4 linked regions of the Mus musculus genome follow. The protein of the gene in region 4 interacts with the protein of the main gene of each other region in a biochemical or structural test. Links are inferred from orthologs where the notes say so. Each region holds a gene or a part of one and is shown on either strand. Other genes may lie near its edges. The genes, in order: Htt, Cltb, Cltc and Hip1.

Region 1 (7,710 bases), about 100 Mb from region 4:
AACCAGACATGTCACAAACAGAGATCCTCAAGTGTCTGACTCCCAAGTATTGGAATTAAAGATATGCACTACCATGTCTGGCCTCATATGACAGTTTTTATTATGTTTTGTCAAAAACTTATTTTAAGCCATTTAAGGATTTAGAGAGAGTCACAATTTTTTCAAGTAGAACATAAGCTTTAATATTAAACACTGTATTTCATCATTAGTTCCCCCAAATCAAACATTTCTATGGTCATGGATGGAACTTGCAAGCTGCTAATAGTCCACCTAACGACTTGGAAAATATAACAAACTGGGTCCTGTGCTTTAGATATCTTCCTATGTGAGAACCCTCTCTCTCCACAACACACACACCTTCTATTAACCTGCTCAGTTCCTGCTTCCCCATAACCATTTGGCATGTATCAAGGGGCAATGAGGTCCTTGTCTTCACTGGGCAACAAAGAACCCCACTAAGGTAGTGGCCTAAGAGTGCTTGGCAAAGAAGACAAGGAAGGGAATTGAATGCTTTCAAGGCCTGCACCAGCTCTCAGTATGCTTTCTGGTATTCGAGGGGTAAGTGGAGGAGAATTGCTCTGTATCTAGACAGTACAGGGCATCTGACTACATGAGGTAATTCCTCTATATCTAGAGAGGACGGGGTACCTCACTACATGACAGAATGCCTCTTTATCTACAGGGACAAGGTGCCTCACTACATGATGGGTGTAATGGTTAATACTGATGTCAGCGTAGCAGTTCTACAACTGCTGAGGAGATAATAACCTCTTGGTGTGCCTATCTTGATGAGGTTGAGGTAGGAAGACCCACTTTAACTGTGGGCAGGGATCCTGGACTGAACACAAAGGGCAGAGCAAACTCAGCACTAGCAGTCACTTCTCTCTGCTTTCTGGTCACGGGCACAATGTGACCAGACACATCAAGCTTACCGTGATGCTTCCCCTGCCAAGGATTGTACCCTTGAACTGTAAGCCAAAACAAACCCTCCTCATCTCAACTGCTTTTCCTCAGTGTCTTATCACAGCAACGAGAAAGTAATTAATACAGGGGTTACTAGAGATCAATTTCCAGAAGACAATGAACACACAATACTTTCTTATAGTCAGGAAATGAATGATCAACTGACCATAGCCTATGACCACCCGTTTTCTTTAAAGGTATGAAAGATCAAGTTAAAACAATTTTCTTCTTTTAGGATTCTAGTTTGTTTAAAACGGCATCCTATTCACATCTCATGTGCTAGCTATTCTGGATTATAGCTCTCGTGTGCCATTTTTTGTTAGAGCCTCCCATGTGCTTTGCTTGATGGTGTCCCTTGCTTGAACTCAGGTTTCCCATATATTAATCACACAAAGATGAGACAAATTGTGCTGGCTAGTTTTATCAACTTGGCACAAGCTAAAGTCATCTAAGAGGCGGAAACCTCAGATAAGAAAATGCCACCAAGCCAGGGGGTGGTGGTGCACTCCTTTAATCCCAGCACTTGGGAGCCAGAGACAGGTGGATTTCTGAGTTTGAGGCCAGCCTGATCTACAAAGTGAGTTCCAGGACAACCAGGGCTACACAGAGAAACCCTGTCTCAAAACAAACAAACAAGAAAAAAAATGTCATCAAAAGCCTGTGGGTGTTTTCTTAATTAGTGGTAGATGGCAGAGGACCCAGCCCATAGTGAGTGGTGTCATCCCTGGGTTGGTGGTCGTGGGTTCTGTAAGAAAGTAGGCTGACCAACTATGGAGAACAAGCAAGTAAGCAGTACTCCTCTATGGCCTCTGCATCAGCTCCTGACTCCAGGTTCTGGCCCTGTTAAGTTCCTATCCTGACTTTCTTCAATGATGGTGTTAAGCCAAATAAGCTCTTTCTTCCCCAACTTGCTTTTTGGTCATAGTGTTATATCATAGCAACAGAAACCCTAACTAAGACACAAATCTAACTTTCTGACAAGCAGAGCTGAGGATTTCCTGGACTCAACGGATTATTGCCTACCGAGCTCATCATGAAGTCATTCATATCTTCAGCAGGGATACGGTTGACCAGCTCTGCACCTTCCAGCAGTGCAGAATCTGATCTGGTCCAACACTGGGATCTGACAAGCTGGAGGTACCAGTCCTGAGAAGAAAAGAAAATTGAATGGGACTGGGTAGGCACTTCGGCTTCTCTGGGCTGTGATAGAAGCACCGACGGCTGGCTGTACAGACATCAGACACATCTTGGGCTTACACTCTCTAGACAGCTAGTCTTCCCTCTCTTGTTCTGTGCTTGAATGCCCTCTTCTTTTCCACCTGTGGACCTTCCAGCAGTCCTTGCAAACTCAGCCAAGTTCTCAGTGTTCACAATTTTTGCTCTACCTGCACTCTAGATGATGCACCATCTATACTATACTGGAGTATCTGCCTCCCTCATCTTTCCCAGCAGCCAAAGCCAAAGAAATGCCTCCCACAAAGCTGGAGAGTGAGCCTGGGGCAAATGTGTGTTTTCTGTCATGGGCTGCAGGCTTCTAAAATCTCATCTCCTTGCCTAAAAGGCAAAGGCCCTAACAGTTTCTAATTCTCAAGTGTGAATGAGAAAGGGTACAGATGACAATACATTATATAGCTGGTGGCAGTAGGTGCATCAATTTATAGGAGATAGAAGGTTCAGAGGGGGAGGCAGGCCAAGTTTTGTCAGCATGTGCTGGACAATGTCTGCAGTCATAGGTCCTGGACCACAACCAACTTTTCCTGACTTGCTGACTAGCCACCTGACTTGCCCCCACAGTCCTCCACAAAAGCCTCACATCAGCACTCCTGTTCTCAGTAGGACCTCTTGGCCTCCATCCTGCACTCTAATCCCAAGCAGGGCATCTAATGACCTGAGCTGAGTGTCAGGTCCCATGTATACTGACAGCCACCACTATCCTCATTGTAGACAGAGGCTGTCATTGTCTCCACAGGGTTCCTGGTCATCACACTTAGACATTCGGGACACTTACTTTGTCTGGACTCACTGTTTCCAGAGATGTGTGCCCATCCCCATCCAGTGGGTGGGAAGTGACTGGGGGCAAGGGGCTAAGTGAGTCCTGCACAGTAGAGAGTCGGAATCTGTCCAGCAGTGAATAGAGCCTTTGGTGTCTGGAATAAAAAAGCCAGAGTAGTTTGTTCTTTGGTTTGAAATCTCAGTTTTTGCACAGATGAGTTCTAGAAACATGTAATACCAAGGAGCACTAGGAGCTTCTTAAGACAGGGCAACAGGTTTTGGACTTTCCCTTCAACATTCTAAAGTCATGATGCACATTTACGCCCTAGTTACTTTAAATTACCAAAATTTATACCTCACTGATATTTTCCAGAAGTTTCATTTATGCTCAACATTCCATTAGGCAATGAACTATATAACCGCTAACAAAGCTATTCTATTCTACTCTTTCTTTTCTTGGCAATATTAGAGATTGAACCTAGGGACTTGTGCACACTAGACAAGTGCTTTACCACTGAATTACATAATCCTAGCCATCGTATTTGTAATGTGTGCAAAACAGATAAATTTTAAGATCCAAGTGCACAAACTCCATTTAATCCCCAATAATGACACAATTCATTCCATTAGAAATGGTCATTTCACAGAAAACCATTTCATCTGGCCTAAATTATTTATGAAGTCATAATCTTCCTTATCTTGGTCTATGACTACAACTACTGTCAAACACAATGATAATTTATTCTCTTACTATACAGAGTCAATGTGATACTTCATATGTCAAATGATCAAATGTCAGCATCATGTGGCTCTGCAGATTGAGAAAAATCATCCAGACCATGCCCTGTCCCATTATGAAACACCATGAAAAATCCTCTGAAGATTAAAGTTATGAGAGACCCTCTCGAATGCTCCCTTCCCCCTTCAGCAATGGAAAAGAGGTGAAAGCTTTTCTTAATTTATCTTGTAGTCAAGGAACTACACTTACACTACAGATGGAAATGTTTCTAATAAAGGCTTCTAAAAGACTTTCAAACAATTAGGCAAAAGAATAGCTATGAAGAGATGTCACTTAACATAATGTGCACATGCCAAGAGCCAGGTAGTGCTCTCATGTTTACTCCCTCCAACCTGGCAATTAGGTTCTAGCTTTATTCCCACTCAGTCAGGGTCCAGTAGCAGAGGTAACAAACATACTTCTTATCCCTTCAACAGTCACAAAGTTCAGGAGTCCCTTCTCTGTGCAACAGGTATTTGAGTGCCACTTCTTCATGTCTACTAAAGTGAGACATGACTAAATTTCATCTGATATTTAGATAGTCTTTTCTACTCTGGCATTGCTGTAGTAAACTCACTGTACACTAATTCCTTTGTCTACCTATTTGTTCCTGAACATATCTATGTGTTAATACGCTGGTTGCCCAAGTGCCAGGACCCCACGCTGCAGTCTTACCTTTGTGCAAGCCCACTGTTCTGGAGGTGTTCTTGGATTCTGTTTAGTTCCTCCTCTGGCAACTGGGCCATGCTGCTCTACACAGACAAGAACACATCAGGGCTTTTGTGATATACAACCTCACACCCACTTAAAAAGGATAAATTACTATACACAGTATATCTAAAAAGAGCCGTTGGTCAGATACACAAATAACAAATATGACATACATGCTCTTTATCAGTGGCCAATCAAGACCAGGTCAATAGACCAAATGTTTTGATTGACTTTCTAAGTTTTGATATAAATTACCATTTTCAGTACCTGTAAATTTGCAGCCAAAAGCATTTCTACCCGGCGACAGGCCAGGGTGTCGACCATGCGAGCCAGCGCACGGAAGGGGGTGCCCAGGAGCCTGTCCACATATAGTGTGAGCACAGCACCAGACTGGCTGAGATGGATGCCTTCCAAGCACTGAAGTGTTTTCTTCAGAGTGGTTGGCTAATGTTGAGAAGGAACGAAATTTATTATTCCTCAGACTGATAACTAGTACTGACAAAATCCCAGTATCCCATTTTTAAGTTGGAGAAAGCAAACTGGCAGGCTAAAGACTTACCGTTGAAAGATTTTCACAGCGAGACTGAATTGCCTGGATAAAAAGACCACTAGCTGCAGAATTACGATGAATGGCACTAATAAAGTCTTGTACTGGAGGCTCATGAGACAAGCTGATCAGATCTTGAATGTGATTCACAATGAGCCATGTTAAGTGTTCTGAGTCATGGAGATTCTGACACTAGAAAGATATAATAAAAGATATATTTCAAGTGGACAAGAAGGCTACAAAGTGTAAGAAAAAACACACTTGAAATACAAATTTTGCCTTGGTGAAGACAAGTGTCTGAGTATAAGTAAATGAGAGAAAGGAAGGAAACTTATAGAACCTTACACCTCTGATCACATGTGGTAGAGGCCACAGGAAGCCAAGAACCAAGGGCAACATCCAGCTCCTAGAGACACCAGCAAATGCCTCAATATCAGAGAATTGGCTCCTTGGACAAGTCAAGAGGTAGATGCCCACAGGAGCACGGTGAGCACTCTGGTGTAGCCCTCCCTAGCGACTGGCCTGGAGTTTGCATGCATGGGAACAAAGGAAGCCCCATGTAGGAATACAACTTGCTACCAGGTTGCAGGCCAGCCTAGCATGGGCTGTTCTACTTACTCTGTCTGCAATGCTTAGTAAAGAAAACAGACTCTAAATGCCACAGATTTGATAGAGTTCTTGAATCAAAAAACACAGCTGCCCAATACAAGGAAAAATGTCACCAGACTGCTCTAATTAAACTCCAGAGTAAACATTGCTACCTCTCCTCAGCTTTGATATATCTGTGGCACAGTGAATAATTTGGTTGCCTAGCAGGTGCATATAAGCAGCATCTATGCCACCCTCTACCATAAGAGCTCTTGTGGGCACTTACGACATAATCACAGAAGAGAATAAGGGCCCCTCTTCGCACTATTTCTCTATTGCACATTCCCAGCTGAGCTGCCGAGCCAGAATCCTCCTCTTCGCCAGACTTCTGGGGGTTAAGTGACTTCGTGCAGGACAGACTGTGTCTCCTACAAGGCATGAATATGCAATGAGGGAATGTCTGGGATAGCCACAAACTTAGACACACAATATTGAACAAAGCTATGATGGATTTTCCTTCTCAAACCCACAAGTTATTCCAGATATTGCTCTATCAGACTGGTGGTGTGTGTTTATGCACCTCAGACTTCTGTCCCTAGAAATCATTGAAGGACACAGAGAGTTTAGCAGCCAGATGATTACAGTGCTTGACTGAAGGGCAAAACCCACTATTTAAGGCTGCAATTCCAAATAGCATGTCCATTCCAGAATTCACACTGGCCATGTTTGATAATGGAGCAGTTGTTCTGATATTTCTCATGTTCTACAAACACCTTCAAGTGCCAGGGAGAAGCCTCATTTCACACTTTCCTACTAATTTTCAAAAACATTACTGAGAAAGTCATGGTTGTGGAATTACTGTTCAAAGTGCTTCTTCTCTACTGCAGTGGTTACTCCACTCATACTCCTTTCTCATTGCATCTTTCTAAATATAACCCTGGAGACTTTCAGTTATAGCCAAATATTTAAAAGACCATGTCTGACATATTTCTAGTCTTTTGCTCAGTCTCAATAGGGACAGAAGTCACAGGAGAGAAAGCACACTTGAAATTTGTTGACCAGTCCTGTAAGTCCTCAGTACTAATAGATTATCGATAAAACTTGTGCTGCAAGCTAAAGGTTTGTTAAAGCTGCCAACCATTTCTGCTTCCTAGGTAGCAGATGGATGAATAACCTAGTGTATCTGTAGTGGGATCAACTCAGTAATGCAGGAGCAGACCACAGATCACCACCAGGGAAATAAACTTTAAACTGATCAATGGTTGCTGATCAACAACCGGATGCAGTGTTCATTTCCATGGATTTCTGCTCTGGGCACAGAGTATTCACGGAGGTTCTTATGGACAAGGGAAGGGATGGTGATAAAGGGACAAGAGGGAACTTCCTGGAATGATGGTACTGTTTGTATCTGACAACAGATGGTACAAAAGGCATTTCACCAGGCACCCTCTGTCAGTTAGGAAACATATACAGAACCCCTGCCCTTTCACAGCTGGAGCTTTGTAGCTTACACTCATAGCCACATGTACAGCGAAGAACTACTCACGTACAATAGGTGAAATTTGCAATTAAATAATTAGCAGGAGACATTGTTATGGTTTGAATGTGAAATGGTACTGACTGGAATATAACAGCAACCATAGAAAGAAGAGACAGCTACTAATCAAATCATCACACAAATAATGCTCAATTATGACCTTGCTACTGAGGAGCAGAAGTTACCTAAGTGCAGACCTTGAGATCTAAGCAAATGAGGAAAAGCATGGGCGGCTTCTCTGAAGAATACTGCACTAAAAACTGAAAGTGATAGATAGGTTTCTCATTTTAATATATTGTGTATGGTGAGACGTGGTAATTTTGGAGCTAGAGAGATGGCTTAGTATTGAAGAGCACTGGCTATTCTTCCAGCCAGTGGATTCAATTCCAAGCACCCACATGGTGGCCTACTACTATCTATCACTCCAGTTCCAGGTGATCTCACCCTCATACAGACAAAATACCAACACACATAATAAAGAAGGAAGGAAAGAAAGAAACTGTAATTTCAACTTTGAAAAACTACCAATAACTACTACAATAAAACCAATGTTTGTGTCCAAATCCCACATTCACCAACTCAAGGAAGCTTCTT
Region 2 (8,198 bases), on a different chromosome or scaffold from region 4:
AAGCCAGGGCCTCGTACTCTCAGGGCCAACCACTGTTAATAATTGGAATGCCTTTTCCAAATAATTTTGTGCAAACACCAAAAATAAAAATAATGGCACATCATTCATTCTGCAAGTTGCTTTAATAAGAACATGCATGTCTACAGGAAGCTCCGATAGCCCTTTAGAACAGTCGACCTAGGCCTTCCGATTCTGGACATGTAAGCTATTTCTAGTTTGTCTGCTGTGGCAAACCATCCTGCAGAGAAACTGGGTGCCCTTTTCCAATCATTTGCTTAGGGGAAATTCCACATGTAATGTCCTGACCAAAGAGCTTATCCAGTTAAAATACCCATGATGGCCAGTCAGGCCAGCCTCCCACCAGAGACACCTGCCCGGCACAGCTTTCATTCCCTCCATCCCACGCCACTCCTTCCTAAAGCTAGTTACTCCTGAAGACAACCTGAGCGACTCCTCAGTCAGTCCCTGCCCCCAGCATACGACAAGAAAATAGTCAGTGTAGGAAACATGGTGAGCCCTAAATGACCTCCAATGGAGAAACAAGTCACTGAGCCTGAGACAGTCCATCCCACCTCTGCTTACCTGAAACACATCTCCATTGACTGTAGTACTCATGTCCTCTGAACCAGCTGGAAAGAGCAAGGAGACAGTTTCATTCACAGTCCATATTACAAACACACAAAGGTCCTATTTTTTTGCTTCTTAAGCCAACCTATGCATACACCCATGGGTATACTGATACCCACCGCCCTCCTCCCACCCCCTGAGATATAATGGATATATAAGCAACGAGGCTCAGGCCCTGATTGTTCCCATGTGCATTCACTGTCATCCCTAATATTTGCCACAGCCCTATGATGAAACAGTGACCCATTTTACAGATTCTCAAGTGGAGGCTCGGAAGGCTACTGTGATTGCTCCAGATCACCTGGCAGTGCACCATTCCTTACCAACCTGAAGTTCAGCATGGAGCTGGGACCTCCTAAGTAGACAGGGGGACTGTGAGTTTAGGGAGAGGCCATCAGGGACGAGGAAGAGAGGGGTCTGTGTCTCTGCATGTCCTGCTGGAACCTTGAGCAACCGATCTGCCTGGGCAAGCAGCCTCACAGCTCCCCCTGGGCAACGCTTGGCCTATTTTTCCTCTCTGTGCCCCTCCCAGGGTTTCATGTTGGCTTCACAGTGACACCGCACAATCCCTTTATCCAGTATCCAGTTAGCCACAAACGACCTGTAGCTTCTGCTGCAACAGCGACCTTCACAGCTACCTTCCCCTCACTCCCATGCCCAGCCCAGCCTGTGCCCTCGACATCTCAAACCTACACTCCTGCTTTGGTTGTCTGTCCTGCTAGTGACAAATGAGAGCACCGTGGCTCAGAGCCACACCCATGCATGGGGCCTAGGCTTCTTTACAAGTTTGGTCACTAGATGCTGAATAAACAAATTAAATTCTTTGTTGTTGTTGTTTTTTATTTTAAGACAGGGTTTCTCTGTATAGCCCTGGCTGTCCTGGAACTCACTTTGTAGACCAGGTTGGACTTATCCTTGGAACATGTTATTTGCTTTGCTGTATTTGTTCTGCGGGCTCTGTTGTAGACTCGGAATCATAAATGTGCAAGAGCCCCTCCCAGGCTCTGCCTGCCTCTGCCTCCCAAGTGCTGGGATTTAAAGGCTTGTGCCACCACACTTGGCTCATTAATTTTTTTTTTAGTTGGTGTGTAAGTTACCTCCTACAGGGAACCTTAGCCTGCTTCCTCTACTTCCCTAGGCACTAAAAGAAAGTCTCGTTTCTGGGGTACACTGGAACACTACACAGGGTATCCCACTCTCCTGTATAGTGACTTAGCATGCCCAGACTCTGGATGCATATATATATATATATATATATATATATATATATATATGTGTGTGTGTGTGTGTGTGTGTGTGTGTGTGTGTGTGTGTGTGGTGTGTGTGTGTGTGTGTGTGTGTGTGTGTGTGTGTATATATATTCCCAGTTAAGGGCTCCTGCATAGAATGGATGAACAGAGACAGTTGGCCAAATGAGAGCTGGACTGTTCTTGGGGTTCACTGTAATTGGCAAGGCCTCTCTGAAACTGTCATGCCGCCTAGCTGCGAGCCACAGCAGGCCTCATATGGTCCCCATAGATAAACAATTAGCCCTGTATGGGATAGACTGGCCTCTGAAGAGCAACAGTGCTTCTGGCCTAAGCCTGACCTGATTCATCAGGGCCTTGCAGTCTCATGTCAATTATGTGTCACAGATATAAATTATAGCTTATTTATCGTCAAGCAGTGATTAATCCTGATTCACTATGACAGCTCTCATCCCACCCACTCTGGGAGGGTTTCTACAGTACAGGTGGCCTGCTCTCTAAATAAGGGTGGTCCCAAAAGGCTATGAGCATCATCCTCCTTTCAGTCTTTGGGACTGCATACACACCCACTCTTAGAAATACCAGCCTGTATCCCACAGGGCTCTTGCACATTTATGATTCCGAGTCTACAACAGAGCCCGCAGAACAAATACAGCAAAGCAAATAACATGTTCCAAGGATAAGCTTTTTGGTGTGTGGTCACCTCAGGAATAATGGCAAAAGATCCAGAACATTCCTGTGAGCTTACTGAGACCAGCAGGGGCAAGAGGATTACACAGTGCTTGGTCACAGGCAGGCCAAGAGCCCAGCTAACGGGTGTGAAAGTGTAGAGCATTTGGGCACTGCCCAAGGCTGATGAATGGAAACAAAGTATCCGCAGCTCAGGCCGGCTGCAGATCCGCCCAGAGGGAAGGCTCAGTGGGGTTCCGGTTCAGGCCTACGCCAGACACAGCTTTCCCCAGGCCCCCCTGAGAGCCAGCAGCAGTGAAGCGGCATTGAACTTGGCTCGAGAGCTGCTATCAGAAGACCTCATTGTCTCTGGGAGGTGACTCAGAGGTGTGCATTGGTGGCTGCTGTTAGAACTAGCTTCTTTCCAACTCCCAGAATTGCCCAGACAGTTCACCTCAGACCACCCAGGCTCCTATCATTCCCTGCAAACGCAGAGGAGGATGGGTACCTCCCACTGTCTAGGCTTAGGAGAATCAGGTCTGTTCTATTTATGCCTGAACACCCGCTGAGCTCCCCTCCTGAAGCACCTCCTTGTTCCCCAAACTGCCACTCAGAAGGGCAGCTGGGCACCTGCAGCTTGATGGAGTCCGGGAGACCCTCAGAGGGTCAAGTCCCTGGCTGCTTCCCTAAGGGTTATCACCACTGTCTCCCTCCCGGTTATCTCATATCTAGGGCTAGTCAGTGCCCTACCCACCCAGACTGTAAGTCCCTAGGAAAGACTACAACTTGCAAAATCCCAGGCTCCTGTGGCTATCCTCAGCTGGAACTGCATCTGTCTTTCTCCTGAGTTGCTAACAACTTGGGACCTCCTAATGAGGGAAAGGACTGTTCCCAAGGGGTGACCATGGACAAGTGAGTTCCATACAGGAACTTAGGAGGTTCCCAGGGACAATGAAGGGCTGAGGGACTGAGAGCTGCTATTTCAGAGCTGCATGGCTGGCTTGGATAGGCCCCTGCTTCTCCCTGCTGTATCCAATCATCTCCTAAGGAGACCAGCACAGCTGCCCTTTGGAAGATCATAACTAGGAGGCCTGAAATCAAGCCCCAGACCTATCACTCACGGCTGTGTGGCCCTAGGCAAGACATTCAAACTCCAGTTTTTTCTTTTTAATTATTATTATTTATATTTTCTTTACTTGTGTGTGTTTGTGTGTGTGTGTGTGTGTGTGTGGTGCAGGCATGTATGCGAGGTCGGGGGGACAATTTGTGGGAGTGAGTTCTATCTACCGCCATGAGGGTTCCAGGGCGTGAGCTCAGGTGTCACCAGGCTGGGCTGATTTACATTTACTTGACAAGCCATCCTGATAGCCCCTCAAACTCCAGTTCCGTGTATGTTACAAAAGGCTTATTACACTTATGTCAGAGTTTCTTCAAACGCTGGGCCATAGATACAGTTTCTTCCTTCTGTGTTCCCAGTGGGGACGGCAACACAGCAAGTGTGGAAGGAAAGAAAGATGAATGTATACATACAATATTTATTTCCAACAGGACCATTAAACCTCTTTAACATGACACCAAAAAATAACAAGGTCTACTAGGAGGGTCACCATGAAGGTCCATATTTGTACTAAATATTTAAATATATTTATAAGAAATTGTTCCTTGGGGCAGAAGTATCAATGATAAACATAACAATGCAGGAAAAAGGTCCTGAACCCTTATGTCTGAAGCCACACGCAGAGGTCCGGGCCACCTTTGTAAATCCACTAAACAAACAGTTACAAACAGGAAGGGCACAGCTCTTGGCCATTTGTGCCCCTGCCTAGACTTACAGTCGGGCCCATGAAGGACTGTGAGGTCTGGACAGGAAGAATTCAGCATCCGAAAGAAGGGGTTGAATTCTTTATTGCTACTTCCTAGTTGTTTTAATAGTGTACCCTTTGAAGCCAGTTCTAAAATGGGTTCAGTAACGTGTATGAAATTATTATATGTAATTAACATTGTCTCCCGCACTGCTGCAGGACTGCAGGTGATCCCCAAAGGATGAGCTGCGAGTTCTCTGAGCGCCCCCTGCTTCCCTGCAGAAAGGAACGCTAACGCTAACGTCAGGAGGACGTGTCCGTCCCACACCTGTATCACTTAGCTAGGACACTGGGACAGTCTCAGAACTGAGCAGGGGGAGGGTTCCAGAGCCAGGGTGGAGAAGCTGGCCTGGGGATGAAATGTCATGACTAAATTCCTGTCCCCAGAGTCAGCAGATCCAGTCTCAGCGCAGATTCCAACTCATCTCCCGGCTCCTTCCTCTTTTCCCAGGCCTCACGGATACACACAGCCCCCCGAGGTACCCTTGGTCACCCTGGATAGCCGGACTCAGAGTACAGCAGGGACCCAGGCCGGGTCTGACCGAGACTGGGCCTCCCGCCCCCGGTGGTGGCCTCAGCCTCCCCGGTTCCAGGCCGCTGCGCTGACTCACCCCCGCTCGCGAGTCCCGGCTGCGCAGAGGCCACCTGGCTGGCGGCAGGTGCCCCGAAACCCGGGTCATTCTCGATGCCAGCAATCTCGCTTTCCTGCTGGGCCAGGAAGGCGGCCGCTGGGTCCTCCTCGGCGGCCTCCGGGGCCCCGCTCTCCGACGATGAGAAGAAGCCGAAGTCCTCAGCCATCTTCCCCGCGTGGCTGCTGTCACCTCCCGCCCGCGCCCGCGGCCCGCACTTCCCGTCACCCGCCCGGCTTGCCTGTCACTGCGGCTGCAGCGGCGGCGGGAGGAGTCGCGGCGGGAATGCGGTGACGTCAGCGGCCGAGGGCGGGGCCCGCGGGGCTGGGTGGTCGCCCCGCCCTCGGTTCGAGCCCCCGAAGCCCACCTTCGGCTCCAGAGCGTGCCAGCAGCACTGGGCTGGCACCGGGTGCATTGAACCGAAAAGTTTCTCCCAGAGCTGATTTTGTGAGCTGCGTGATACAAGAGTACTCTTCCTGCGTAGGAGGAGGGAGCTGAGGCTGGGAAAGGCTTGAGTGCCAGGCGCGCACAGCAGAGCCTTGTTCTCTCAGGACTGAGTAAAGCATCCCGCCGCCCTATCTGTGTGATGAGCCCCTGAAATCAGGGACTGTTCCTCTTTCTCCCTGTCTGGTGACATTGATGTTCCTTAAGGCAACTAACTGGCTGATTGTTTTGTCTTTCAATTTGAGCTCTTTCTCTAGTTCTTAGAGCAGAGGGTCAGTTTGTCCCATTATTGGTTAGGTTCCCGTTGATTACTCAGTACAGTACAGGTGGAGCCTGCTTTTTTCTTTGGTAATTAATATACGTATTGTGACAGCAGATTGTATGCCAAACTCGCATTGCACATTGCAATTACTTTCGCGGTTTTTGTTGTTGTTGTTTTGTTTTTTAGTAGCCTGTTTGACCTCAAATTCTTGTATAGCTGAGGCTGGCTTCAAAGTAGTGATTTTTTTTTTTTTTTTTTTTTTTTTTTGTATTTCGAGACTGTTTTTCTGTATAGCCCTGGCTGTCCTGGAACTCACTCTGAAGACGAGGCTGGCCTCGAACTCTGAAATCTAACAGCCTCTGCCTCCCAAGTGCTGGGATTAAAGGCATGCGCCACCACTACCCGGAGACCTTTTTCAAAAATACAGTATCTTTTTTGGTTGTGTTTTTGTTTTTCAAGACAGGGTTTCTCCATGTATCCCTGGCTGATCCTGGAGCTCACTCTGTAGATAAGGCCGGCCTCAAATTCATAAAGATCCACATGTCTCTGCCTCTAGGATGCTGGGATTAAAGGCGAGCACCACCACTGCCAGGTGAGTACCTCTCTTTTAGTCTTTGTCAATTTATATATATATATATATGTATATATGTGTGTGTGTGTGTGTGTGTGTGTGTGTGTGTATATGTGTATATATATATATATATATATATACATATACATATATATATATTATGTATACAGTGTTCTGCCTGCATATATGCCTGTAGGACAGAAGAAGGCACCAAGATCACATCACAGATGGTTGTGAGCCACCATGTGGTTGCTGGGAATTGAACTCAGAACCTCTGGAAGAGCAGTCAGTGCTCTTAACCACTGAGCCATCTCTACAGCCCTCTTTGTCATTTTATACAAACAAGTAATGCATTTTGAGCATATGCTCCCCCCTCACATATCTCACGCCTCCCAGGTATCCCCTCCCTAACAGTTCCCCTCCCCCACTTGAAATTTTTTTATTTATTTATATATTTATGTGAGGACACTGTAGCTGTGCAAATGGCTGTGAGCCTTCATGTGGTTTTTCAGAATTGAATTGGTTTAGGACCTCTGCTCCCTCTCCAGTCAACTCTGTTCACTCAGTTTTTTGGTTTTCCGAGACAGGGTTTCTCTGTGTAGCTCTGACTGTCCTGGAACTCACTCTGTAGACCAGGCTGGCCTCGAAATCAGAAATCTGCCTGCCTCTGCCTCCCAAGTCCTGGGATTAAAGGCATGGGCCACCACTGCCCTGCCCAGCAGATTTATTTATTTATTTTGGTTTTTCGAGACAGGGTTTCTCTGTGTAGCCTTGGCTGTCCTGGCACTCACTTTGTAGACCAGGCTGGCCTCGAACTCAGAAATCCGCCTGCCTCTGCCTCCCGAGTGCTGGGATCAAAGGCATGCGCCACCAAGCCCGGCTGATTTATTTATTATTATACATAGGTACAATGTAGCTGTCTTCAGATGCACCAGAAGAGGGCATCAGATTTCATTACTGGTGGTTGTGAGCCACCATGTGGTTGCTGGGATTTTAACTCCGTACCTTCAGAAGAGCAGTCAATGTTCTTACCTGCTGAGCCATCTCACCAGTGCCCCCGCCCCCCATCCTCTCCAGTTTTTTTGTGTTAGTAACCCACTGAGTTCAATTAACACTGCCTGAAGGAATGAGCAGGCCATCACAGTGACGCACAGTGAGGTTACCCCTGTAATGTTCATGCCACTGCTACACCAGTGAGAACTTTAGGTTTTTGAGTCAGTCTCACTACACAACTGTCTGGCCTTGAGCCTGCTATGTAGACCAGGCTGGCCTCAAACTCACAGAATCCATATGATTCTGCTTCATGCATGGTTTTTTAAAATTATTTTTTAAAGTTACACATATGTATGTATAGGTGTATGGGTATGGGTGAGTGTGTATATGTCCAGGTACCTACAGAGGCTAAAGGTATATAAGATACTATGTATCTAGATACATTGTAGCTAGAGTTACTGCAGGCTGTCAGTTGTCTACAAGAGTAGCATGTTCTCTATCTTTCCAACCTCAGTGGGATGCCTAGCAGGTTAATATTATCACATGAAAGATGCGGACAAGGATGCTGTTGATGTCTTTTCCACCCCAGCAGCCTGAGCAGCACCTTCTAGCACTCTAGCTCAACGAAGAAAGGAGGCACACTATCACCTGAAAGGCTGCCTGTGCCCTTTCGCAGTCAGCTTCTGTTTCAGCTCACTCCCAGGACAGCAGCACTCTGCTTTCTGTTACTAGGGAGTGCTTTCTTCATCCCCGCCATTTTTGTTTTTAAAAGAGCTGTGTATTTGGGCAAGAGAGATGGCTCAGCAGTTAAGAGCACTCACTGCTTTCTCAGATGACCCAGGATCAGCTCGCAGCATCCACATCAGGTGGCTCACAACTCCAGTTTCAGGAGAT
Region 3 (7,710 bases), on a different chromosome or scaffold from region 4:
ACATACAGATATAAATTCAACAACTGTCAGGCAAGCTCACAAAATAAAAAAAGAAGATGTTTTAATTTATTTCAAATATTAAGAAAGTCCTAGTACGTTCCAGATACCCTGACAGGGAAAAGCAATTTCCTGATAGTTTGGAATTAATATTGAAACTCACCATGCTCAGTTTTAATAACATATTAAGAGAGACTGTGAACCAACTACTGATTAGCCTCCTGCCCTTCCTAAAGCCTATTAGCCGATTAGTAGCAAACATCTACTAATGTCCTACAGCTCTATTATAGTTATGTTTCAAGGGACTTGCAGAGGCTTAGTGAAAATTTATTGGGGGGAAAAGCAGCAGCAGCAGTGTAGAAAAGGAAGGGAAAAAATCATGCAAATCCTTAGACTTAGTCTCCAGACTTAAAGATGCAAAAGAATCAACTTTCACCTTTTCCTTTATTGCATCAACCTGCAAAGGAATTCAGAAGGTGCAGCTTAGAAAAAAAAATCAAATTCCATATTGAGCATAAAAAGGTAGAATCAGCAACAAAGGTTCAGGGGAGAAACATGTAACCACTAAAAAAGGGAGGAGCGAGTGGAAGTCAAGGGCGTACGGAAGCAAAACTTAGAATCCTGTGTAACTTCAAAGCTCACTGCACAAGAATTTATGCTAAGTCAGTGTGAAAGGAAGCAGCTTAATGGCTAGGAAAATGGACAGCATTTAGGTTAACAGCAGCCAGGTCTCCAAAGGTGGCATTCATTATGCATAAGAAAGAAGCTTCCCCCACCTGTGGCTAAGCTGTGGCAACTGTTCTAATCACACTGAGCTTACATATAAAGTATTCCTCCTTTAAAAACTGTAAGAGCAACTCAAGGTATCTAGTTATGTGGCCTTCGGGGAAACATCTCTATGGGGTGGGGTGTTAGTAGTGTTCCCCTCCTGTACTCAGGCATGCTGAAGAGATCAGAACAGAGACTTCACTTCAAGTTTTATTTACTCTGACAAAACGAATCTTTTAAAAATCATTTAAATTGTCTATGCATAAAGCTAGTTAACTCTGGCAAGCAGGAGCTATTCTCACATCAGAAAGAGGTGCAAGGATGAACAGCAAATTTTGTACGGTGGCCGAATCCTTAGTTACTTAATGTGCATTTAGGAAACATGGTTAATTGCAAACTTCCTATAGTATTTTTAAATTATGTACTTGATTATCAAAAATCTGTGTTGACTAGGGAACTAATAATACAATGCATGAGAAACGGGAAAGACATGAAGTCTGGAACCAAACAAATCGGGAGTACATGGAGATCTAAGTTGTAGCAATTAACTTTAAAATGCTATCTTAAAATATTTCAAATATTAAAAGAGAGTACTATTTACTATAAGAATACAGAGAGTAAACACTGACAAAGCTTGAGTTCCATTCCTAATCATATCGCCTGTCAGCTATTAAGAAAAAGAATCCATATAATAGGAACATTTTATGGTCAACTAAATAATTTATAATAGAGAAAAAACTTGAAAAATAACATGCATGTAGAATGTTATATATCCTCAGGATTACTAGTTCTGAATACACTTCTGAGCATCATTACCTTGGTCAAATATTCCTTCATGACCTGGATGAAATAGGGCATGGCGAAATCCATGATATTATGTCTCCATGCGGTTTCCAGGACGACATCTGGCCTTAAGAGATCATAACAGGTAAAGAGACAAGCTCCAAAGCATTCTCTTTTTTCTTCCTGCAAAAACCACTGTAGGAGCTCTTCAGCCAATTCTGTGTCTTTAGATTCAGAGGCATACTGCATTGCATCCTATTCAGAAGAAACAGAGAAGAACAGAGTTTAACCCACACATGCTGACTTAAACCATCACTGAAAGTTAAACAACAACAATAATGAATGCACTGACTTAAAAGCCACCTTCACAAAAGGGAGTTGAAATGCCAATTCCCATTGCTTGAACAGCCCACCCGCTTACCAACCTTGTAAAGGCTGTCTTTCTTGCACAACTCTACACTCTGTTTCCAGCGATTGTTGCCTTTGAAGAGATAAGCAGCAATTCTTCTGAATTCAATGAGTTCGTGTTTTTCCAAACGCTGAGCAAGTGAGATGTTGTCAAAGTTGTCATAAGCATCTATTGATGTTCGCAGAGCCTTAAGAGACAAAGCCATTCAGAATCAACTAGCAGCTTTCGGTTTGACATTTATGTTCCACAGTTCATTCTGATGGAGGCAGTTAGATGGCAACATGAAATAGAACAATGTAGAGAGAGGATGCAAGCACCACACTACAAAAGTTGTAACCTGTATTCAGATCTCGATCGTCTTTGATCTACTTCTAAAACAATAAATAAAATGCTTAAATGGACTGTACAACTTTCTGAAGGTGCAATTTTCTTTGAGATAAACAGTACTGATACTAACTTAAATGACTATGAAATTGGGAGAAAATGTAATGTAGACAAGCACGTAAGCTGTTAGGAAACTATTCTTACAGACTAGACTTTGAGCCAGGGGTGCTGACACAGAGCTCTAACGAAGCACTCAAGTATGATGTCTGTGAGGGAAGCCTGCGCTACTAGGCAAGTCCCAGCCAGGCCAAGTGAGGGAAAAATCGCAATTAGTAACCTAGACAGTTTCTATTTATGTGTTATCTTTCATAAGAGCAAATTTAAATGACAAATACTAAGACATTAGGCGAGGAAATTAATAAACAGTTAAGTCCACTTAACAGCAGTCAAGTTTATGGACTAATTGAAAAATCAGTGCCTCTTGGATGTGCAATCAGGATGTAAGAGGGGAAGGAAGCACATATTGCATATAAAATATATCTAACTCAAAGAGTGAAACTTGTCATAAAGCTGAACACTTACCCATCCCGAAAACCTTGCTGAATTTAAGGACTAAGCATCCACATGCCTGCTACTTAAAAATTAAGGCTAACAGGGTTCTTTTGTTTGTTTGTTTGTTTTTACCACAGAACATGTCAGTGTTAAAGCTAATCAGAGTCTACTGTTAAGTATTCACAAGAATCCAAAGGTTTTACCTGGTAATCTTCTTCAGTAATAAAGAGGTTGTTCAGTGATTCATTCACAGATTTGTTGTTGTGGTTCTGCACTGAGCGTAAATATGGTTTCACCAGTGGTAGCTGTTTTACCTTTAAAATAAAGTTTGTTAGAAAGGTATCCATGGTTGAGAACTGTATCCAAGTACATCGAAATCCTCACTGTAAAGTTCAGTTTAAAACAGTTACCTTGCTGAAATAATTGACTGCACGAGTGTGATCCAACCGTGGAGACAGCACCATGAGCAAGTCATTTAACAACAAAGGCTTGAATTCTAAGTAGAACTGGATTGCTTTGTAGTACAGTTCCACATTAGCCACCTAAAAATAGAAATGCACATCAGTTTCTATCCAAGGAGCCTTCTCTTTCCACAGTGCACACTTCTGAGTGTATATACCTTGGTGATGATGTCTTTGAACTGCCCTTCCTTCCATGCATCGGTGGGGTGATTCATCATGGTAATGATGGCATTGTCATACTCTTCGTACTTGTCATACAGAAACACCAGCTCTGCCCAGAGATGAGCCTGTTCTGCAGCTCTCAGCACCTGCACCACAAAGTTGCTTTAGATGTAAATATGACTCCTGCAATCAGCCTAACAGGGAAAATGTTTTTTTTTTTTAATTTATTACTATTATTTATTTATTTGGATTTTTTGAGACAGGGCTTCTCTGTGTAGCCCTGGCTGTTTTTTTTTTTTTAATTTATTACATTTATTTATTTATTTATTTATTTATTTATTTATTTATTTATTTATTTGGATTTTTCGAGACAGGGCTTCTCTGTGTAGCCCTGGCTGTCCTGGAACTCACTCTGTAGACCAGGCTGGCCTTGAACTCAGAAACCCGCCTGCCTCTGCCTCCCAAGTGCTGGGATTAAAGGCGTGTGCCACCACGCCCAGCGAAAATGGTATTTTAAATTATTAGAGCTAATCAGTGGTGAAGACTGGTTGGTTACCTTAGGAATATTCACTCTCGACCAGAACAACTCCAGGTGTTCTCTCATTTTCTGTGGCTTGAATTTAGAATACAAAATAGCTAGCTCTGTGAACATTCCCATGTGAGCTCGCTCCAGTCCCAAGGCTGCCTCCAACATGGTGATGAGTTCTTCAAAATATCCACGATCCTACATAAAGAAAAAATGCAATTAGAGGAGAGAATATGTGTACGAAGGTTTCAATTCACATAAAGGCCTGGTGTCGTTACCTGATAGTAGTTGATAAGCTCCTCTAATTCATCTGCATGCACCACAATATGGAGTCCACACATCTGAGCAAGGCGGAACTCTTTCCCATCTACACAGGCAAAGCAGACCTAGAATAAACATTTTCCACTATGAGAACCCAAGTATAAATATGTGCAATTATTTCAACTCAACAGAAAAGAAAAAACAGTACAACGGTACAAGAGAAAAAAAAATCAAACAAAATGTTAATTCATCATTCAAACTTGGGTTTAGATTACCTCTTTCCATGTTCGAGTACTATTAGCTTTTCTGGCACCATCAACTGCTGCCTGATACTCGCCAAGGTGAACAAGGGTAGATGCCAAGCGTCCAAAGTTAGAAACATTATTGTACAACAACTTAGCAGCATCATACATTTTTTCATCATAACAACGGTCACCAACCTAAGGAGGAAAAGCAATCCATGATCAGTAAAACACAGGTTTCAGCCTAATCCCTTTTCCAAATTCTTATCTTACTACAAAGGAACAGATGGGTTTAGTTGAATATGCTGTAAAATTCAGCACCCAGAAGTTGAGGCAGGAGTAACAAATACCCATTCTTCATGCCACTGAATTTTGTATCTCAAAAATTACAAATAAAATGAATGAACATACACACACTCTATCTCCTAAGAACAGTTTAATTTCATAGCCCTAAAATATTGATTCAGCCAGGGTGATAAAATTACTCAATCATTGAACTTTCATGTGTTAAAATGTGGAACTCAGTTGGAAAGTGCTTGCCTTGCAAACAATAGGATGTGAGTTAATTAATACCTATGACCCACAAATTCAGGTGTTGCATGTGCTTGGAATCCCAGCACCAAACTAGTGGTAGATCAGTCCCTTGTGCTTGCTGGCCAGCTAGCTTAAACTACTTAGTGAGACTTTTGCCAACAAGAGACCCTGTCTTTTCTCCTAAGTAGATAATTCCTGAGGAATAAAAACAAGAGCCTGTCTTCTGGCCTTCACATGCACTTTGATGCAAGCATCCCACTGAAAACAGACAGACAGACGGACACACATGCACAGGAACTGGGGGGCAAATTAAACAGGAAACCCACTTGCTGAATATGAGCATTATTTGGCCCATTGATGAACTCTTCTAATTCTGCAAGGCGGTTTGTTTTAGCCAGTGCAAATATCAATTCTGTCTCCACATAGGACTCTCGAGCCTTCTTGCGTGCCATCTGCAAATACTTCACCAATTCTTCCCAGTTTCCTAAATAAAGAGAAAAATAAGTCCATAAACTAGCACCCTTGTTTTATATTTCCAAGCAAATATGTTAGATGTGCTATTAGTTCCCCCTGACAATTTTTTTTGAGTGTCATGCTATCTAAACAGCCTACGCAGTCCAAGAGTTTAAGGCATCCTGCCTCACTGGCAGGTGTACATCACCACACCAGCTTAACTCCTTTTTCAAAGAGACATTACTTAGAATGGCAAATATAAAGTGGATATACTTAAAAGTATAAAAATACATATCTATATTATTATTGCCCCGAAACTGCTTGATACTTCTGCCCACTTTAAAGTTATATTCCAGAGCTCTATCAGGATTTTATCAGACCTCAAAACAAAATGAACTTTCTCCAGAGACTTTCTAAACTCAGTCAGTCTAGATCAAGATGCTGGGCTAAAAGCTTTCACACGTAACCAGGGAGTGTCTGACCTCTATACAATTAAAACTTAAACACCTTAATGCTTGGCTTAGTGATTTTTTGGAGGTCTCAGGACATAAAGACAAGAAGTCTTACCGCTGGCATTGGCAGCCTGGACAACTTCCATGTAAGATGAAGGATCATCTGCTTTGATGTAAGAATCAATGGCTTCCTTCACCATTCCTTTCTGCAACTGAGCTTTTGCAAGTTGACTCCAAACAGCAGGCTCATTGCAGCGTTCAGCAAACTCATATGCACGATCCAGGTTTCCAATATGTTCAATCAACACCTGGGCAATATTTTTGAATTGGTGTTACTGTAAAATGGATCTCACCCAACATAGTTACATTTAAACGGATAGCATTTTATGATTACTCTACTGTGATAGCAATCTGTGCATACTCTCACAAGAAAACGCATTCTTTGCATCAAGAGAAGACATTATTGTCAATATCTCAATTCATGTAATTTCAAGATTTACCTGCACTGCTGAAGTATTGACATCAAACTTCCGGAAAATAGCAAATGCCTCTTCAAACAGCTCATTGCTGATGGCAATGTTGGCAATATCTGGAGCATCATAATTATCCAGGCGGTTAATATACTCCATAACACGTGTTCGGTCAGCCTTAATTGCAGTGAGGATGAGGAGATTTTGCAGATTCCTTAAGAAACCAAGACATTCAAGCACAATGTCATCAAAGAGTCATCAATGGTGAGGAAACACCACTGTGACACTAGAGGGTTATTTGTCTCAAGGGTCAGGGTGAGAAGAGCGTGTATTAGGAGAACAATCCAGAAAACTATCTGTTCTCTTTGTTTTCTCTTCCTTCCCCAAACCAACAGGCCACAAAGAGAGGCTGAGGAAGCCAATGCAAGCCCCTGGCAGCATAGCATACCTGTGCTCACTGAATACGGAGTTATCAAGAACGATTTTCTCCAGCAGTTCAATGAGCTCATTAGGAAGATCTGCTGTCATAAAAGCCTTCACAGTTACTGACACTTCTTCTGGGTCCTGAGTTTCAGACAAGGCTGTCTGTACAACCTACAAAGGATATACATGGAATAGTTTAAAAAAAAAAAAGGTATTTTTAAAAAGATATTGCCTGGTAAGAACAAGTTAGTTAGCTTTTCATTAGAAAACCTCAAATAGAAGGAAAAATACCCTTCTACTCAAAGATCTTTGTACACAAATATACATGAACACGTTTATATATGATGTTACCATTAGTGATTATGCAATTTTCACTTTCCCCTGTTAAAACACTATCCATAATAACGTATCACTATTTCTTTAATGGATTCTTATTTTCAAATCCCTAGGCACAGATAAGAAATTGAACAGCTCTTGTTTTGTCTACTTTCATGTGCTCAGATGCCATGTGATTGCAGGGAGCTTTGTATCTACTTGGGAATGTGCCTTGGAACCACTTTCTAGAGAGTGAGTGAATAACTCAAGAGCTAGTAATCTATGCCTCAAAATGCTCTATCTTTTTGTCTATCAGAAGAATTTAAGAATCATTTTAACAACAAGCAACAATTAGCACTTTAAATTCAAGATTTCAATTTCATATAGGTATAAAAATCTTCACTCCAGTGCTGTGCTATTTAGTTAAGACTTACTACTGATTTGGGTATCGAGTGTGCTATTCCTGTGTTTGTGTGCATGAATGTACAGGTGCATGTATCCAAAGGTGATCCAGGTGTCCTGCCCAGTCACGTGCTACTTTACTTCTGAGACAAGCCTCTCCCTGCAGCTGGAGCTCA
Region 4 (7,710 bases):
GAGGTCACCCATGTGGGAATAGGGAGAAACTAAGGAAATTCAACAGTCCCCTCTCTGGGACTCCAGACCCACTTCCTGGCACCTGGCCGGAGGTAGTGATATGTGTCTCCATCCTTATCATTGCTTCTAGGAATATGTGTGGATTACAGCTGGGGCCAGAGAGCTCAAGGCAGGAGCTGAGGCCCCAGAGGGAGCGGGGCAGGGAGGGCTCACCTGGGCAGAGGTTTCCAGGTTGCTGTGGAGGACCTGCAGCTCCTGTCTGCTGGTGGCCAGTTCATGCTTCAGGTTCTCTAGAACATCCTGTTGCTCTTGAGTCTGAAGCAGAAGCGAAACAGAAGCAGTGTGAGCCAGGGACTCACGAGAAAGGAGGCAGATAGGGATGCATTTCCCACGCTATTGACGTCCCACGCTATTGACGTCTCACGCTATTGACGTCCCACGCTATTGACGTCCCACGCTATTGACGTCCCACGCTATTGACGTCCCACGCTATTGACGTCCCACGCTATTGACGTCCCACGCTATTGACGTCCCACGCTATTGACGTCCCACGCTATTGACCGAGACTGTAGATCCACTAGGTCTGAGTTCTAAGTGTGTGGGTAGCAGGCAGCCTGGAGGAAGTCGATGACCCAGGCCTCACCAACAGCTTTGCCTTTCTTTCCCAATATTAATTTTTGAAGATTAGTTTACTAGGTGTTATTAAGAATTCAGGACTAACACATACTAATTACTACCAATAACTGATTATCAATACAGAAATAATAAAGCTTATCAATATAAATATTAATTAGAATCAGTAATTTTAATATGTCAAGATTATATCAATTATATAGTTATCTATATTATGATTAATAACAATATTAAATCACAGTTGATATTAATGTCAATAATATTAATTACTAGTAACAATAAAACAAATAATAATTGATTTTATATATACTGTTGTTGTTGAGATAGGGTTTCTCTGGGTAGCCCTTGCTGTCCTAAAACTCTGTAGATTAGGCTGGCCTCAATTCAGAGATTTGCCTGCCTCTGTCTGGGATTAAAGGCGTGTACCACTACAGCCTGGCCCTCTATTCCTTTGCTTGGCCCCCTGTCCTTGAGACAGGGTTTCAAGTAGCCCAGGCTGGCCTGAACTTCTGTTTCTCTTGCCTCTACCTCCCAAGTGGTGAGAGCATAGACTTGCACTACTACGCCTGGTTCATGTGGTAACAGGGATGGAGCTCGCAGGCCTCCTAGGTGAGCCTACAACATAAGAACTCTACCAACTGAGCGAAATCTGCTCTTCCGCGTAGCTCCCAAGGCCTCCTGAAAATTACCCATGGAACATATGATGAAGCCCTCTGGGCCAAGTCGGCCTCCAAGCCTGTTTACAGGTGTTCGGAGATGACTGAAGCTCAAGGGTCTTGGGGCTGAGCGGGAGGATCTGATCGCCCAGACCCGCACGGCACCAGAAAAGAATCTAAACCTAAACCCACTTCAACATGCATGATGTTGCAGGCACGCACGCACGCAAGCACGCACGCACGCACGCACGCACGTATGTACGTACCCCTCCCTTCTACATCCCCAAGTGTCTCTCTGGCTTACCTTCCGCTGGGCCTGGTCACTTACCCGTGCAAAGGAATCTGCTAGCTCTTTTTTCTCTCTTTCCAAATCCACCTGGGCTTGCCGGGCCACGGACACCTGTTTGGTCACCTCTGCGTTCTAAAAGAGGAGTAGAGAGTTTTTAACCAGACATTACTCAGGCTCAAAGCCCATCGTCCTTCTAGCAGCAATGATCTATCATCAGACTGTGAGTAACAAGGAGGCAGACAGGAGAAGTTTTCCCTACCCAGAAGGAAGCCAGAACCAGCCATGGCATTCAGAGGGATGTTAGACTTAAAGGTGATTACAAAAATACAGAGTGGGTAAGGGTAGAGTTGTCTGGTGTAGTGTTTTTCCAGGCTGGCTTGGAATTCACTATGTAGCCCAAGCTTGCCTCAGACTCACAGCAATCCTTCTGCCTCTGCTTTCTACGTTTGAGGATTTCAGGTGTGAGGATAGTACGCCTACTCTCTACTTTCTGAGATAGAATCTGACTATTTAGCCCTGCCTGGCCTCCATCGTTGGGTTTAAAGTCATGTGGCACTACTCGTGGCTATTTTTTTTTTTTTTTTTTTTTGAGATAGGATTTTGCCTCCACCTTCTGATAGGATTATAGGCATGTCCCACTATGCCCAGCTCAAATGAAGGGTAATCCTAAGTGTGGCTGGCACACAGACAGAACTCAAGAAGTCTTAAAAAGCTGGGGTTAGGACTCAAGATAGGGCTCAGACACACCAGAAGAGGGCATCAGGTCCCATTACAGATGGGTGTGAGCCACCATGTGGTTGCTGGGAATTGAACTCAGGACCTCTGGAAGAGCTGTCAGTGCTCTTAACCATTGAGCCATCTCTTGAAAGAAAGAAAAGAGAAAGAAAGAAAGAAAGAAAGAAAGCAAGCAAGGTGGGGTCAAGAATTAGGAGTGTGGGGCTGGAAGGATGGCTTGGTGCTGCTCTTTCAAAGTATGTAGTTTGGGTTCCCCACACCCATGCTAGACTCACAATTTGCCTATAACTTCAGCTTCACAGGTCTGATGCCATCTACTGGCCTCCTCAAGCAACTGCACACACATGCGCATACACAAGCATTCGGACATACAGAGGAAGAATACATACATACTGTGCAGCTTGGAGACCCCCCCCCCAAGCCCCGCCCAGGCTTGAGCTGTTTCTCCTGTAATGTGGAGCATATGGGAGGATTAGAAGGGGCCACAATGCCTACCTTCCGCAGCAGGTCAGCATGGTTCTGCACCAGTTCACTGTACTTCTCTTTTAACTTGCTATACCTCTGTTCATTAGCCTGGGCCTTTCCTGCAATGGAAAGATCAGGGTGAGGCCTCTGCCCTGGCTGGGATGCCCCTCATCCTCCCTCTAGGAAACTGGGGGCACTAAAGGTAATCTTTATCTTTTTTTTTTTTTTAAAGATATGGTCTCAAGTAGCTCAGGCTATGTAGCCAGCATGACCTTGAACCTCTGATCCTGTGGGCTGGAACTACAGACGTATACCACCACACTCTGCTAGAATTTATCTATTAACTTTCATTAATAGTCATTAATAGGGGTTTACTGGAAACAAGGTCTTGCTATGTAACCCAAGCTAGCATTATGGTCATCTCCCGCCTTAGCTTCCCGAGTTCTGAAGTTACATGTAAACACCACTGAAGCGGACATAAAAGGTTGTCTTCTTTAAGTAAACTTTCCCCTGATTCAAATCCACCTGCAGACAGATGCCTACAAACACAGTATCCATATCAGCAGGGCTTTAAGCTTCATGTGTCCCCGCCCCGCCCCCTTAGGCTTTGTCCAGCTTCCTCTCCTAGGAAGGTCCCTCTCCCAGGATAGGGACTCAAGCCATCAATGTGTCCTTGGCTCAGCAGTGCCACCAAACCTGTTCCTACCTCTGAAGACAAGAGTCAGTACCCCAGCTTTGCTTCCACAAAGGGGTGATCTGCCTTGCTCCCGCCCACATCCCCAGCCCCAGCCCTCACTTTCTATCTCAGTCAGGCTGCGCTGTGCCTTCTCCGTGTCCTCTCGCTGCCTCTTCAGTTCATCCAGCTCAGTGCGCAGGAACTCGCAGTCATCCATAGCCTGCCGGCCCAAGTGCTGCTGCTCTGCTAGCTCTGCCTCCAGCTCACTCACTCGACCCTTCAGCTGCAGCATGGCCCGCTGGCTCTGTCAGGGGAAGCCGTGGTGAGAAGCTCACTACTGCCAGGCTGCCCCATGAGGGGTACCAGGCAGGACAGGAAATGACTTATCACGTGACTGGCACTGATGTGGTTGATCTCTAAATCAATTTCCCAACCCATAGACTCAACCAACTACAGAGAGAAAACTTTTTGTTACTGTTGTTCTGTCGCTCTGGGTAGGGAGGGAGCCTAGGGTCTTGCTCAAGTGGCCAGTGGCTATACTGCTGAGCCATGTCCCCAGCCCCTCACTGGGGGACTCTAGGCAGGGGCTCTACCACTGAGCCACGCCCCCAGCCCCTCCCTGGGGGATTCTAGGGAGGGGCTCTACCACTGAGCCACGCCCCCAGCCCCCTCACTGGGGGATTCTAGGCAGGTGCTCTACCGCTGAGCCACGCCCCCAGCCCCTCCCTGGGGGATTCTAGGCAGGGGCTCTACCACTGAGCCACGCCCCCAGCCCCTCCCTGGGGAATTCTAGGCAGGTGTTCTCCTGCTCAGACACCCCTCCCAGACTCCCAGCCGTTTACTGTGATTCTAGGCAAGTCGGCCACCAATGAGCCATACCTCCTGTCCCTTCCTGGGACATTTTAGCTCAGCTCTCTACAACTAAGCCACACCTCTCGCCCATAGTTGATGAATTCTTGGCAGGCACCTTATAACCGAAGCCTATCCTCCCTCTCTTACCAAGGGATTCTAGACAGGCGCTCTGTCATGTGCTCGCAGCCCTTCTGACAGATTTAGGCAAGTGATCTATTATTGAGTTATAGCTCCAGCTCCTAAATCAATTTTCTCAAGAACTTATGAGAAAAAGTTCTGATGGCCAAGCCATAGTCATGCCTCATGGGGACACTGGTACCCAGCTTAACTGCCATCCTAAAGTTACATGTTATGATAACAAATTCTAATTGAGACCTAGAGATGAGCAAATTTATTGACTTTTGAATATCTATTTTGTTGTTGGTAGTGGTTTTGGATTTTTTGAGACAGGGTTTCTCTGTGTAGCTCTGGCTGTCCTGGCACTTCCTTTGTAGACCAGGCTGTCCTCAAACTCACAGTGATCCACCTGCCTTTGCCTTCTGGTGCTGGGATTAAAGGCATGCGCCACCAGACCCAGCAAGGCATGTCTATCCATCAACCCAGTCTTAGGATGGGGTCCAGCCATTATCATGAGACATCAAGAATGCCATGTGCCACATGCTGGTGAAACCCAAGCGCACATGGACCCTAGAATGCACCTCAATCTTCATGTTGTCCAGCTGCCCTGTCAGTCCACTGATCTCTCTGTACAGGCGTTCAATCAAGTGGTCCCTGAGAAGAGAAAAACAGGCTTGGTGTCACTATGTCCCGCCCCTCTCCTCCATGTAAGTCAGGAGACAAAAAGAGGTCAAAGCTTGTGTTAATTGGGGCATTCTCTTTAAGAAAACAAACAAATAACTTTTCCTGTTACCAGATATTCACTGGAGGAAGATTGTTTCTATTCCCACCACGACCACCCTTCTCTCCCTTCCTCTGGGGTGCTACAATTATAAACATGTGCTACAGTTCCTGCTTTATATAGTACTGGGGGGGGGTGTCCTGCATGCTAGACAGGCACTCTATACATGAAGCCACATCGCTAGACCCACAAATAACAGTAATAATCCTTTGCAGTATAGATTTTACAGTCAACTTTTCTCATCTGCAGTTCTAGACCTGTGCATTCAACTGACTGGGGATGGAAGATATTTGGGGAGGAAAAAACCTTGCATCTTTATTGACCACATACAGACTTTTGTTTTTGTCATTATTTCTGAAACATCAGAAAAACAGGGGCTGGTGAGATGGCTCAGAAGGTGCTTGCCATACAGCCTGGCAATCTGCCTTAGACCCCTGGCACCCATGCGGTAGAAGGGAGAACTGACTCCTGCAAGATGTCCTCTTGTTTATACACTAATGGCACAGCACGCCTGCAGCAACTCTGTCCCAGTACAAAATTTAAGTGGGGTTTAAAAAGAAAAAGAAAAAAGCCACAGAAATAGTATTCATCTTATAAGGGAGTCTTGCACAGTGGCTGAGTTTTGTTTCTGTGTCTGTCTGTGGAGGTGATTCTGGATCCAGCAACTCTTGGATACCTAGGGTTATTGTACCTTAGACATTAGGTATCTTACCCTGATACCCACAAGGTTCACTGTTGCTGATCTAGGATACAAGGCGATCATGTTTAGAGAAGAGGTAAGAGACTAAGACAGTTTTATAAATTTATGTATATCTCTGCCCGTTAGTATGTGCACATGTGTGTGGGTTCTCTTGGAGGCCAGAAGGAGGTGTTGGATCCCTGGGAGTTTCAGGAGGTTGTGATCCACTCAAGGTGGGTACTGGGAAATGAACTTTAAGTAGCAAGGACTCTTAGCTACTGAGCCATTTCTCTAGCCCTGGTCCCTTTCGTAGTTGGGAGATGGAACCCCAGCCCTTAGCATGCTAAGCAGTGGTCCAGCTAAGCTACATCCCACCTCTTTCCAAAAAGCCCAGATGTTAAGTATGGATGAGGGGATCTGTGGGTGAAGGGTCTCCAAGCCCAAGAACCTGAGTTTATTCCTGGACTCCACATAAATGCAGGAGAGAGATGACCCATAAAACCCTGACACCTTGCCACATCCCCCGACCAACGACACACATATAATCAAACAAACGAATGCAACAAAACGTTTTCTTTTAAAAGAAGTGCTGTACTACAGAGATGGCTCAGCGGTTAAGAGCACTTGTTCCTGCAGAGAAGCCAAGTTTGGTTCCCAGCACGTATGTTGGGTGACTCAAAACTGCATCTACTCATGGCCTACTTGGGCACACAGGCATGCATACAGACACATAGACACACAGACACTAAAAAGAAGGGGTTGAGTAATAAGGGAAGACACCTAACATTGGTTTCTAGCCTCCACACAGGCATACATAGGCAAGAGCACACATGTATACACATGTAAACACACACATGTGAACACACACACACACACACACACACATGTGAACACATATACACATGAAAACACACGCAATCCAACACCAAAGAAAGGAGGTAGAGGGCAACTGTGGAATAACACCTGAGCTGGAATTCTGACACAAACACATACATGTACTTACACACATATGCACACACATACACACATAGATATACTTACACATAAACACACATGTATTTTCACACACACACAAATAAACACATATGTACACACACACACACACATACACACACACACACACACACACACACTTCCTTCCTCTTGGGGTAGCTGTCACAGGCACACTACAGCTTAGCTTCATTTCTCAACCGTGTACTTCCACCCAGCATGGACTCACTTCTCGTCCTTGTTCACGCCATTTTGATTGTTGAAATTGAAAGGGTCGCTGCTCAATGAGCTGCCAAAGACGTCATCAAACTTGTTGTCAAACAAAGTCTGCAGCAATCAGTGGGGTGGGGGAAGGGGAAGCACAAGTTAGAGACCTCTAGAAAATTCTCTGGGAAGCGGAGAGGTGCCGGGGGGGATGCATGCAATTTATTACTTCAGTTTATACTGCGTAGTTTAGTTTACACTACATAGCTCTGGCTGGCCTGGAATTCGTTATACAGACCAGACTGGCCTCAAACTCATAGAAATATCTGCTTGCTTCTGCCTCCTGAGTGCTGGAATTAAAGTGTATGCTGCCTTGCTTGTTTCATTTTTTATTGTTTTTCTTTCTTTGTAATTAAATAAAATATTTTAAAAGACATTTATTTTTATATGTATAAGTGTTTTGACTGCATGTATGTGTGTATGTGTCTGGTGTTCACAGAGGCCAGAAGAGGGTGGGGCTTTTCTAGGACCAGAGTTAAAGATGGTTGTAAAGCCAGGGGTGGTGGCATACACCTTTAATCCCTTTAATCCCAGCACTTGGGAGGCAGAGGCAAGTGGATTTCTGAGTTTGAG

Evidence for each region.
Region 1: the proteins of Hip1 (region 4) and Htt form a complex in vitro, tested with the Homo sapiens proteins (2 studies listed by BioGRID). The link is inferred for Mus musculus from reciprocal best matches to the Homo sapiens genes HIP1 and HTT.
Region 2: the proteins of Hip1 (region 4) and Cltb form a complex in vitro, tested with the Homo sapiens proteins (2 studies listed by BioGRID, with this or other methods). The link is inferred for Mus musculus from reciprocal best matches to the Homo sapiens genes HIP1 and CLTB.
Region 3: the proteins of Hip1 (region 4) and Cltc form a complex in vitro, tested with the Homo sapiens proteins (3 studies listed by BioGRID). The link is inferred for Mus musculus from reciprocal best matches to the Homo sapiens genes HIP1 and CLTC.

Annotation. Positions count from the first base shown.
Region 1 is NC_000071.6:34,874,203-34,881,912, reverse strand, and holds part of Htt (huntingtin), read right to left. Parts: intron 6,008-7,710; coding exon 5,866-6,007; intron 5,184-5,865; coding exon 5,004-5,183; intron 4,889-5,003; coding exon 4,712-4,888; intron 4,486-4,711; coding exon 4,409-4,485; intron 3,111-4,408; coding exon 2,972-3,110; intron 2,110-2,971; coding exon 1,987-2,109; intron 1-1,986.
Region 2 is NC_000079.6:54,606,062-54,614,259, forward strand, and holds the start of Cltb (clathrin light chain B), read right to left. Parts: upstream 5,313-8,198; 5' UTR 5,204-5,312; coding exon 5,017-5,203; intron 630-5,016; coding exon 583-629; intron 1-582. UniProt on the Homo sapiens protein: Clathrin is the major protein of the polyhedral coat of coated pits and vesicles.
Region 3 is NC_000077.6:86,700,628-86,708,337, forward strand, and holds part of Cltc (clathrin heavy chain 1), read right to left. Parts: intron 6,989-7,710; coding exon 6,843-6,988; intron 6,609-6,842; coding exon 6,425-6,608; intron 6,233-6,424; coding exon 6,040-6,232; intron 5,504-6,039; coding exon 5,346-5,503; intron 4,684-5,345; coding exon 4,519-4,683; intron 4,369-4,518; coding exon 4,261-4,368; intron 4,181-4,260; coding exon 4,013-4,180; intron 3,603-4,012; coding exon 3,453-3,602; intron 3,376-3,452; coding exon 3,244-3,375; intron 3,148-3,243; coding exon 3,037-3,147; intron 2,145-3,036; coding exon 1,974-2,144; intron 1,804-1,973; coding exon 1,582-1,803; intron 455-1,581; coding exon of another isoform or gene 434-454; intron 1-433. UniProt on the Homo sapiens protein: Clathrin is the major protein of the polyhedral coat of coated pits and vesicles. Two different adapter protein complexes link the clathrin lattice either to the plasma membrane or to the trans-Golgi network.
Region 4 is NC_000071.6:135,431,433-135,439,142, forward strand, and holds part of Hip1 (huntingtin-interacting protein 1), read right to left. Parts: intron 7,201-7,710; coding exon 7,103-7,200; intron 5,078-7,102; coding exon 5,005-5,077; intron 3,759-5,004; coding exon 3,575-3,758; intron 2,898-3,574; coding exon 2,809-2,897; intron 1,711-2,808; coding exon 1,618-1,710; intron 316-1,617; coding exon 214-315; intron 30-213; exon of another isoform or gene 1-29. UniProt on the Homo sapiens protein: Plays a role in clathrin-mediated endocytosis and trafficking. Involved in regulating AMPA receptor trafficking in the central nervous system in an NMDA-dependent manner. Regulates presynaptic nerve terminal activity.